Linked DNA regions of Oryctolagus cuniculus. The protein of the gene in region 2 purifies or fractionates together with the protein of the main gene of each other region. This does not show direct contact. Links are inferred from orthologs where the notes say so. Each region holds a gene or a part of one and is shown on either strand. Other genes may lie near its edges.

The links.
Region 1: the proteins of LIG3 (region 2) and APTX purify together in Homo sapiens (affinity purification with mass spectrometry; 3 studies listed by BioGRID and IntAct, with this or other methods). This does not show direct contact. The link is inferred for Oryctolagus cuniculus from reciprocal best matches to the Homo sapiens genes LIG3 and APTX.

Annotation. Positions count from the first base shown.
Region 1 is NC_091432.1:196,394,797-196,400,601, forward strand, and holds part of APTX (aprataxin), read right to left. Parts: intron 5,549-5,805; coding exon 5,489-5,548; intron 4,054-5,488; coding exon 3,830-4,053; intron 1-3,829. UniProt on the Homo sapiens protein: DNA-binding protein involved in single-strand DNA break repair, double-strand DNA break repair and base excision repair.
Region 2 is NC_091448.1:39,293,564-39,299,368, forward strand, and holds part of LIG3 (DNA ligase 3), read right to left. Parts: intron 2,826-5,805; coding exon 2,682-2,825; intron 1-2,681. UniProt on the Homo sapiens protein: Isoform 3 functions as a heterodimer with DNA-repair protein XRCC1 in the nucleus and can correct defective DNA strand-break repair and sister chromatid exchange following treatment with ionizing radiation and alkylating agents.

The DNA of each region.
Region 1 (5,805 bases), on a different chromosome or scaffold from region 2:
TCCTGGCTCCTAGTTTCGGATCAGCACAACTCCAGCCAGCCGTTGTGGCCATCTGTGGGTGGTAGACCTCTCTCTGCTTCTGCCTCTCTGTAACTCTTTCAAATAAATAAATAAATTTTTTTTAAAAAAAAGTATTGATGGGGAGAGTGGGAAATGTGGCACAAAGATTTCATTTAGTTAAAGCAATTAGTAATCTAAGTCATAATTACCCACACAAATAAACAGGAGTGTTGGTGGTTAAAAAAAATTACCAAAGGAACTTTATGAGGGAAGTTGAACATCTTTTCATTGATTATTGTTTATAGACTTTGCCTATTTTTCTGCTGGACTATGTTTTTTTTATTTGTTGAACTCGTTATTTAGTACAGCTATTAAGCTTTTGACTATAATGTAAGTCAAAATATGTTTTCTGAAAAAATATTAAGTTAAAAAATGTTGGTAAAGAATAGAAAATCAAAAGGGTATAATTTTAAACTTATGAATACTTTAGTATTTTCCTTAGAAATGATCTAGATATTTAAAGAATGTCATTTAATTTAACCTAGTATAACTTTAGGATTAAAAATTATCAAGGCCGGCGCCGCGGCTCACTAGGCTAATCCTCCACCTAGCGGCGCCGGCACACCGGGTTCTAGTCCCGGTCGGGGCGCTGGATTCTGTCCCGGTTGCCCCTCTTCCAGGCCAGCCCTCTGCTGTGGCCAGGGAGTGCAGTGGAGGATGGCCCAGGTGCTTGGGCCCTGCACCCCATGGGAGACCAGGAAAAGCACCTGGCTCCTGGCTCCTGGCTCCTGCCATCGGATCAGCGCGGTGCGCCGGCCGCAGCGCGCCGGCCGCGGCGGCCATTGGAGGGTGAACCAACGGCAAAGGAAGACCTTTCTCTCTGTCTCTCTCTCTCACTGTCCACTCTGCCTGTCAAAAAAAAAAAAATCATCAAAAAGATGTTTTTTAATGATTTATTTATTTATTTGAAAGGCAGAGATACAGAGAGAGAAGGAAAGAGAAAGAGAAAGAGAAAGCAAGTAATCTTCTACCTGCTGTTTCAATCAACAAATGGTCCAACAGCGAGGGCTAGGCCAAGCTGACGCCAGGAGCCAGGAGCTTCATCGGGGTTTCTCACAAGGGTGCACGGGCCCAAGGTTTGGAGTCATCCTCTACTGCTTTCCCAGGCACATTAACAGGGAGCTAGATCATTAATGGAGCAGCCTGGACTTGAACCAGTGCCTATATGGGATTCCAGCACTGCAGGTAGAGGCTTAACCTTCTATATCACAGTGATGGCCCTCAAAAAGATTTTGGAAACTGTCTTCAAGTGCCTATCATTGTTGTCTTTCATCCTGTATTCCCTTAAATAATATAAGATGTATTGACCTCAAAAAAATTGCCAAAGGAAATTCAGTCACATACTACAGTATGGATAAACTCTGAAGACATCATTATGTTAAGTAAAATAAGTCAGTCACAAAACATCAAATACTGCATGATTTCATTTATATAACATACTCAGAGTATGGTGCCCCCCACCTGCAGTTTGTTTTTGTTACCCAAAGTCAACCACAGTCCAAAATACTAATATTTGTCTTAACTCCTCAAGAAAACCAAATGTACATAACTTTCATTGCAGTGCATTGTTAAGATGACTCTCTTGCTGGCGCCACGGCTCACTAGGCTAATCCTCCACCTGCGGCGCCGGAACCCCAGGTTCTAATCCCGGTTGGGGCACCAGATTCTGTCCCAGTTGCTCCTCTTCCAGTCCAGCTCTCTGCTGTGGCCCGGGAAGGCAGTGGAGGATGGCTCAAGTGCTTGGGCCCTGCACCCGCATGGGAGACCAGTAGGAAGCATCTGGCTCCCAGCTTCGGATCAGCGCAGCGCACTGGCCGTAGCAGCCATTTGAGGGGTGAACCAACAGAAAAAGGAAGACCTTTCTCTCTGCCTCTCTCTCTGTCTACCTCTGCCTGTCAAAAAAAAAAAAAATTTTTTAAACCTTATCATAGATATGTACATATTGTTAAAAAGTGTATACATTGGCATTGTGACACAGTAGGTTAAGCCTCCACCTGTGAGCTTGAGCCCCTGCACCCGTGTGGGAGGCTCAGAAGAGGCTGCTGGCTCCTGGCTTCTGATTGGCCCAGCTTCGGATGGCCCAGCTCCAGCCACTGTGGCCATTTAGGGAGTGAATCAACGGACGGAAGACTTTTCTGTCTGTCCCTATCACTGGCTGTAACTCTCTCAAATAAGTAAAATTAAAAAAAAAAAAGAAGAAGAAGAAGAAAGAAAAGTATATATATATATGGAGCTCAGTAGTTTCAGGCACCCCCTGGGGTCTTGTAATATATCCCTCACAGACTCACAGATGAGGAAAGACTATTGTACTCCATTCACAGACAGAAAGGGGAATGTTGGTCTAATGGGGAATTATTATTTACTGGGTACAGTGTTTCATTTGGGGAAGATGAAAAAAGTCCTGGAGAAGGATGGCAATGATGGTTGCACCATAATGTGAATATACTTAATGCCAGTAAAGAACACACTTAATGCATATTTTACCACAACTTTTAAAAAATAAGCTACAGGAGCTGGTGCAGTGGCATAGTGGCCTAAGCCTCTGCCTGCTGCGCTGGCATCCCATATGGGTGCCGGTTTGAGCCCCGGCTGCTCCATTTCTGATACAACTCCCTACTAATGTGCCTGGGAAAGCAGCAGAGGATGGCCCAAGTCCTTGGGCCCCTGCACCCACATGAGAGACCCAGAAGAAACTCCTGGCTCCTGGATTTGGATCAGCTCAGCTCTGGCCATTGTGGCCATTTGCAGAGTGAACCAGCGGATGGAAGACCCCTCTCTCTACCTATCTCAGTAACTCTGCCTTTCAAATAAATAAAGTAAGTCTTTATAAAATAAATAAATAAATAAAGTACAGGGACCAGTGTTGTGGCCTAGGGGACTAAGCTTCTGCCTGTGGCACCAGCATTCCATTTGGGCGCTGGTTCAAGTCCCGGCTGCTCAACTTCAGATCCAGCTCTCTGCTATGGTCTGAGAAAGCAGTAGAAGATGGCCCAAGTTCTTGGCCCCTGCACCCATGTGGGAGACCTGGAAGAAGCTCCTGGTTCCTGACTCCTGGCTTTGGATCGGCCCAGCTCCAGCTGTTGCAGCCATTTAAGGAGTAAACCCACAGACAGAAGACCGCTCTTTCTCTCTCTGCTTCTCTGTAACTCTGCCTTTCAAATAAATACAGCGCCAGCCCCTAAATAAATAAATAAATAAATCTTTAAAAAATAAAATTAAGGTACAAACTTGAAATCAGTCTCATTATCTTACTCTGCAGGTCAAAGGAACTGTGAAGATCTGCCTTGCTTGCATTCTTTTGAAAAATAATTCCTTTCCAAATCCTTCTGGGTATAAGTCAAAGGAACAGACTCCCTACTGTCCTCTCACTTTATTTTAAATCTTAGGTCTACTAAGCCATCTTTCAAGAAGCCTACAGTGTGTGTTTCCTTCAGAGCAACAGTCCTTAGTCATTTTAGCACTGCAGATGCTTTTGAAAAATCTGATAAAAGCCACTGACCACAGTTCCTCACCTGAGAGGAATCAAGCTGCTGCATCTAGCTCATATTTGAAGTCCTGAAAGGTCTGAATTTTGAGAGGAACAAAGAATCATACATAACTGAAATATAGGCAGAGCAGGTTTGCAGGTAAGTCAAGCTGAGAGGTCTTGAAAACATCCCATCCTACTCCCCTGGGCCTCAGGGCTGTCAGCACACTCAGCAAGCCCAGGCTGAATCTACCTGAACACCTGGACAGAACAAGAAGGCCCCAGGACCTCCCACAAGCTTACCTCATGCTAGGAATGGCGTGGTAGCCCAGTCGGAAGCGGAGTTTGCTGGACCCAAAATCTGCAATCACCTTTTCCCCTACAGTGTGCATATGCTTGAGGAGTTCAAGGTGTTCCCTGGTCACAGCCTTCAGACTGGAAATGGAGGCCCATGGTAAGACCAGCCAGTGGTAACGGGCCTTCGGATATTTATCCTTAATCACTACCACCTGCTCATCTTTGTAGACCTAGCAGAGAGGCACAAGAGAAGAAAACAGACATCTACTGAGAATTATCTGTGTACCAGGTGCTGTCATATTCATTAAGTCACCTAATTCCCACCACTGTCTTGTACAAAATGTTTTGTAGCCCAACTTTGACAGATGAGAGCACTGAGACTCACAGAGATCCAGTGTCTTTTACAACACACATAGTTACTAGGTAGGAAATTTAGGATTCTAACCCAGAACAAGAATCTGTGGGCGAGGGGCTGCCACTGTGGCATAGTGGGTAAAGCCACTGTCTATGATGCCAGCAACCCATTTGGGCGCTGGTTCAAGTCTCAGTTGTTCCACTTCCAATCCAGCTCCTGCTAATGGCCTGGGCAAAACAGTGGAAGATGGCCCAAGTACTTGGGCCCCTGCACCCACATGGGAGATCTGGATTGATTGATTGATTTATACATACACACACACATATACATATATATACATATATACACACACACATATCCTGGGTGTATGTGTGTGTATACACACACATATATATACACATATATATGTGCAGATAGATAGATCTGTGAAGGGAAGCACCAGCATTATGGCAGAGTGGGTTATGCCACTACTTACAACACCAGCAGCCCAAATCAAGTGTGAGTTCAAGTCCCAATTGCTCTGCTTCCCATCCAGCTCCCTTCTAATGTGCCTGTAAAAGCAGCAAAGAATGGCCCAAGTGCTTGGGCCACTGCCACTCATGTGGGAGACCTGGGTAAAGTTCTGGTCCCCTGGCTTAAGCCTGGACCAGCCCTGGCCAATATAGCCATTTGGAGTGAACCAGCAGATGAAGGATCTCTTTCTCTCTCTCCCCCTCTCTGTCACTCTGCCTTTCAAATAAATTATTAAAAAAAAAAAAAAAATAGGGGTAGAATAAAAATAAAAAAAGAAACTTGGGGGGTAGGGATTTTCCAAGTGGATAAGACACCAGGGAAAACCCACAAATCCCATACTACAGTCCTTGGGTTTGACTCCCAGCTCCTGCTAATATAGACTATGGGATACAGCAATGATGGCTCAAGTAATTGGGTCTCTGCCACCCAGATAGGAGACCTCAGATTAAGTTCCAAGCTCCTGGCCTTGGCCCAGCCCAGCTTTGGTCACTGCAGGCATTCAAGGAGTGAACCAATGGATGGGAGCTCTCTCCCTCTCTGTCTCTCTCTCTCTCTATATATATATATAATAAATAATAATAAAAGGTAAGGCAGAAGGGATATTCATTTGAAGAATTTAGCTTCTCTCCAAATTCCAGTTGCTACCTTTTTGCCAATGGAAAAAGCACTTGTTCTCACAGAATAGCCCAATAAAACAAATCTCAAAGGATTAATATCCTTTGATTTAATGTAGAATTATGACCTCTGTGATCATTTAAAACATCTAATTTGCTTAAATTCAAAAATTTTATCCTGACCTGCATTTTGGGGTCCTGCATTGAAATCTTCAAGCCTTGACTCCAGTGACCCAGAGGTTCCTAGACAAAAATGGATAATGTAAATTGCAAATACCAGTAACTAAATTTGGCATTAGTTAACACTGTTAAACAGCAAAGTCCAATCAAACCTGGAAATGAGTTAGTTTTTGAGAACAGAACTACATTCCCTTTACTTTAACCTACTGCCTTTAAGGACCACAGCCATCCCCTACTGTCTTCCTATTTTTGGAGTGGGTGTCTAGACGGAGGCCAGAGGAGTCAAAGCATAAATCACATCTTTTCCCTCTTGCACTCCA
Region 2 (5,805 bases):
AAAAAATCTATACCTTAATATTTCTTAAAGAAAAAAAAAGATAATTTTTCATCCACTGGTTTATTCCTCAAATGGCAGCAATGGCCTGGCCCAGTCCTGGACTTCTATCTGGGTCTTCCGTGTGTGGCAGGGGTCTAAGCACTTGGATCATCTTCCACTGTTTTCCCTGGTGCACACCAGGGAGCTGGATTGAAAGCCAAGCAGCCAGAACTTGAATTGGTGCTTATATGGAATGCCAGTGTTGCAGGTGGAGGCTTAACCCACTGTGCCACAACATCAGGCCTAAAGCCTCTTTCTTTCTTTCTTTTTTTTTCAAAGCCTCTTTCAATCCCCAAACAGCTTGAGTCCAAGCAGTTTGGCCTTATATTTACTTCGATGGAGTCAAATCACAAGAACATTTCAAACAATAAGAGAAGCAAGGTATAGGGTAAAAGAAGTTAGTGAAGTCAAATAGACTTCAGTGCAAAGATTAACTCCACAATGAACCTGAACTTCAGCTTTCACATTCATAAAATAGGCCTGATACAAGTACTTCCTAGATTAACTGAAGAACAAATGAAATTCCCTAGCCGAATACTCCCTGTTACATAAGATTAACAAATGATCCTAATCTTTTTTGTTTGTTTGTTTTTTAAAGATTGACTTGGGGCCAGCGTTGTGGCATAGATGGTAAAGCCACCACTGTGATGCCAGCATCCTATTATCGGTGCTGGTTTAATTCCCGGCTGCTCCACTTCCGATCCAGCTCTGGGCTAATGTCCTGGGAAAAGCAGCGGAAGATGGTCCAAGAGCGTGGGCCCCTACACCCACTTGGGAGACCTGGAAGAAGCTCCTGGCTTCAGCCCAGCCAGCCCTGGCCAGTGTGGCCATCTGGAAGTGGATGGAAGACCTAACTCTTTCAAATAAACAAATAAATCTTTAAAAAGAAAAAAAAGATTTACTTATTTATTTGAAAGACAGAGAGACAGAGAGATCTTCCATCTGCTGGTTCACTCCTCAAATGGCAATAGCCAGGGCTAGGCCAGGCCAAAGTCTGAAGCCAGGAACTCTACTCAGATCTCCTACAGAGGCGGCAGGGGCTCAAGTACTTGGGCCACCATCTGCTGCCTTCCCAGGAGCATTAGCAAGAAGCTGGTTTGGAAGCAGAGCAGCTGGGACTTGAACCGGTATTGGTTTATGGGATCTCAGCATCAGAAGTGGATGCTTAAACCCTGTGCCACAACACGAGCCCTGATCCTGATCTTTTCAACTCCCATTTATAGCCTATGCTCCAGCAAAATTTTCTTAAATTCCTGTCTGTGAAACAGAAACTCCATATTTTATATAAAAGAAATCGTATGTTCATGGGTATGAGTATAAATTCACTTGTGTGAAGAGAAAGAAAATGTAAGACATTACTGTTATCCAATCGTCAAGAAGACACAAAATGGATGGGCATTGGGCTCAGCCGTTAAGACATCCTGTAGGATACCTGCACCCCTGACACTGGAGTGCCTGGGTTTGGTCTTGGCTCCACTTCCAATTCCGACTTCCTTCTAATGTGTACTTTAGGAGGCAGCAGGGGATGACTCAAGTACTTGGGTCCCTGCCACCTACATAGGAGACTCAGGTTGAGTTCCTGGCTCCTGGCTTTAGCTTGGCTCAGCCTTGGCTGTTACAGGCCTTTGGGAAGTGAACTAGGGGATGCATGATCTTTCTCTGTCTCTACTTCTCTGTCATTCTGCCGTTTATTTACTTATTTTTAATATTACACTCTTTAAGATTCATTTATTTGAAAGGCGGGGTTGGGGGGGGGACAAAGAGTGCTTCCATCTATTGGTTCACTCTCCAGATGGCTGCAATGGCTGGAGATGAGCTGGACTGAAGCCAGGAGCTTCTTCTGGGTCTCTCATGCGGGTGGCAGGGCCCCAAAAACTTGGGCCATCTTCCACTGCTTTCCCAGGCACATTAGCAGGGAGCTGGATTGAGAAGTGGAGCAGGGGGGAGTCAAATTGGCACCCCTATGGGGTGCCAGCACTACAGGTGGCGGCTTTATCCACTATGCCACAATGCCAGCCCCTCTGCCATTTATTTATAAATAAATAAGTCCTTTTAAAACAAAATCTTAGTCTGGCCTAGGAAATGACTTCCATGGCAAAAAGTCCTTTTATTTAAAAAAACTTTTTAAATTACATTTATTCTCATTTATTTGAAAGGCAGAGACAGAGAGATCTTACATCTGCTGGTTCACTCCCCAAATACTCATAACAGCTAGGGCTGGGTCAGGCAGGAGCAAGGAGCCTAGAACCAAATCCAGGTCTCCCATGAGAGAAGGCGGGACTAAAGTACTTGAACCATCACCTGCTGCCTCCAAGGGTGCTTATGAGCAAGAAGTTGAAATCAAAGTGGAGCCAGGATTCAAACTCAGGTGCTCCAATATAGGATGTGGGGGTTCCAAGCAATGTTTTAACCACTGACCTACCCCTAAGGCAAAAAGTCTAATACAGCAAACATCCTTCTGCTATGAGAGAGATTAAGGTGTACAAAGAAATGCTGTACAAGTGTGATGCTGATAATTAGCCACCACCTGTCTATACTCAGACAAAAGCCAATTATTGGGACTAGAAAGCACAGAATTTTCAGTCAGCAAGATCCCCAAGTAAAAGAGCTGTAACAGCTCTAGTATCCCTAACCTATCTTACCTGAAAAGCCAGAAAATTTCCGTGGATTGGGGTTGGTGACTAACGAGGCTCCTTTCACTGGGGATGTCACCTGGCCAGTGGATGTCAACTTTGCCTGGACGACAGCTTTCTTCTTTGGTGTGCTTGCTGCCTTGGAAGACAGATCTGCAGAAACCCAAAAGAAGGCAAAATATCCTTTAGTGAGAGCTCTCTGAGGCCGCTTCCACACAACCTTCAGCCGCGCTTAGAGCCTTGCTGGGCAAGCACTGCTACAGCCCACCCAGCCTGGCTGGGCTCTCTCAGTGAAGGTACGAGGGCACTGTGTGCAGGGCAGGGACCCATGTTACCATATACCTGCATTAAGAACAGACTGTCATTTGAGGAGTGAGCCAGTGGATGGAAGAGCTCTGTCTCTCCCCAACTTTGACTTTCAAATAAATAAACCTTAGATGTGACAAGATTTGGAGAAAATCAGAAATTACAACTTTTTTTTTAAAAGATTTATTTATTTATTTGAAAGGCAGATTTAGCGAGGGGCGGGGGGAGAGAGGGAGAGAGAGAGAGAGAGAGAGAGAGAGAGAGAGATTGATTGATTGATTGATTCCAAATGCCTGCAATAGCCAGGCTGGGCAGGTGGAAGCCAGGAGTTTGGAACTCCATCCAGGCCTCCTTCGTGGGTGGCAGGGACCCAAATACTTGGGTCATCCTCCACTGCTTTCTGAAGCACATTAGCAGAGAGCTGGATCGGCCCTGGATCGGAAGTGGAGGCCCTGGATAGGAAGTGGAGCAGCCAGGACCTGAACTGCGGGATGCGGATGTTGTAGGCAGTGGCTTAACCCTGTCATGACCAAGGCTTTGAAGAGGAAATGCCAGGGGAAGTTTCAACAAAGTCCTCCAACACGACCAAGCTCCCACTCATCAAACGAGGGCAAATCTGAGCATGTTTTAATGGGAATCATTAGGCATCCATCCTGCATTGGCTCCTTCTTTCTGTTCCCTTAAAGGGAACTCTTTTTCTTAGCTAATAATGTAAAAAAGATGGCACTGATCTGGTTAAACTCCCAGGACCCCTGAGTTTTTCAGAGATGGACTCAGTGGTTGCTATCACTACTTATAAGTTTCTTGAACTTGGTGAGCTTAAAATTTGAACAATAAAATTTACACAGAAGAGGCAGGTGTTGTGTTACAGATAGGTTAAGCTGTGTCTTGGGATGCCTACATTCCATACTGGAGTGTTGGCTTAAGTCCCGGCTACACTGCTTCTGATCTAGCTCCCTGCTAATGCATACTTGAGTTCCTGCTACACATGTAGGAGACCTGGCTCCTAGTTTGGGCCTGGCCCAGCCCTGACTGCTGTAACCATTTGGGGAGTGAAACAGCAGATGAAAAATCTGTCACTCCTCTTTTCAAATAAATTTAAAAAAAAATTTTAAGTTTAGATTTCTTTACACTGCCATGAACTTTTGAAGCCTTTTCATAGACACTATTTAAAACTATTTACCTGAAAAAGGACTTGTATCCAGAATGTATTTTTAAAAATCTTTAAAATAGTAAGACACAAAATCTTGGCAGAGAGACGGTTACACATCAGAGAGAGGTATCTCCTCTCCCCTGGTTCACTCCCCAAATGCCTATAAAAGTCAGGCTGGGCCAGGGAAGGCGAGGCCAAAGCCAACAACTCTGACCAGGTCTCCCTAGTATCTGGGCCATCTCACGCTGCCTCCCAGATTGCACGTTAGTGGGAAGCTGGATTAGGAGCTGTGACAGAATTTGATCCCAGGCACTCTGATACGGGAGTCATCCCAAGTGGTGCTTCTTTGTCCCTGTTTTTCAAATAAAAACAAAAATTTATAAAAACATACAATAAACATCAGTATAATGTTGAAGATTTTAAAAAAATACTGACAATACCTACTCAGAACACAGAGGGAGCAGTCATCACTCTCATGTGCTGGTGGGAGTGCAGATTGGTAAAAAGACCTTGAAAAACAGTTTCAAAGACTCAACCAAAACCCGTCCAGCAATTCCACTCCTGGGTATGGATTCAGCAGAAAGACCCAATGATATGCACCAAAACCAAGGCCCAGTGTGTTCACAGCAGCACTGTTTGTAGCTGGACATAAACCAAGTATTCATCAACAGAAGAATAAGCTGTGAACTTAGCCACTACAATGAGTAAAGCACAACAAAAAGCAACCTAATCTTGAAAAGAAGCCAGAGAAAGCAGAGTTTAAGTTTAGAATGGGCAGCATTATGTTAACAGTGTTAGGAATAATGGTTACGGCTAGCGCCGCGGCTCACTAGGCTAATCCTCCGCCCTGCGGCGCCGGCACACCGGGTTCTAGTCCCGGTCAGGGCGCCGGATTCTGTCCCGGTTGCCCCTCTTCCAGGCCAGCTCTCTGCTATGGTCTGGGAGTGCAGGGGAGGATGGCCCAAGTGCTTGGGCCCTGCACCCCATGGGAGACCAGGAGAAGCACCTGGCTCCTGCCTTTGTATCAGCGCAGTACGGCGGCCGCGGCGGCCTTTGGAGGGTGAACCAAAGGAAAAAGGAAGACCTTTCTCTCTGTCTCTCTCTCTCTCTCACTGTCCACTCTGCCTGTCAAAAAAAAAAAAAAAAAAAGATTTGGAACACAGAGCAACAGACAGGGAGAGACAGAGATAAAGACTGATCTTCTTTGTGCTGGTTCACTCCTCAAATGGTCACAAGAGTCAGGGATGGGTCAGGCTGAAGCCAGGTACACTGGCAGGCAGCTGGACCAGAATTGGAGCAGCCAGGACTCAAACTGGCACTCCAACATGAGATGCCAGCATCAGAAGCAGGAGTGTAACTGCCACACCACCACCCAGCCAGGACTTGTGTATCCCTGTTACACTTCCAGAGAAGTTTACAGGATTGGTGAATGAATGAGTGCACACTTTGCACTTTGAAAGATTCCGGCAGGCTGCGGTTCATGGAGGGTATAAATGCCCTACAGGGGACGACAGCACTCTCTGCTCCACAGCTGCCTGGCAGCCACGGTCATCAGTTATTTTAAAGAGACCTAACTGGTGTGGGGCAAATGATGTCAGCATGTGGGTTGGTTTCATGTGGGGCCTGGGAATACTAGGGCCACGCCTGTCTGCAGCTGACGGTTCAAGTCATTCT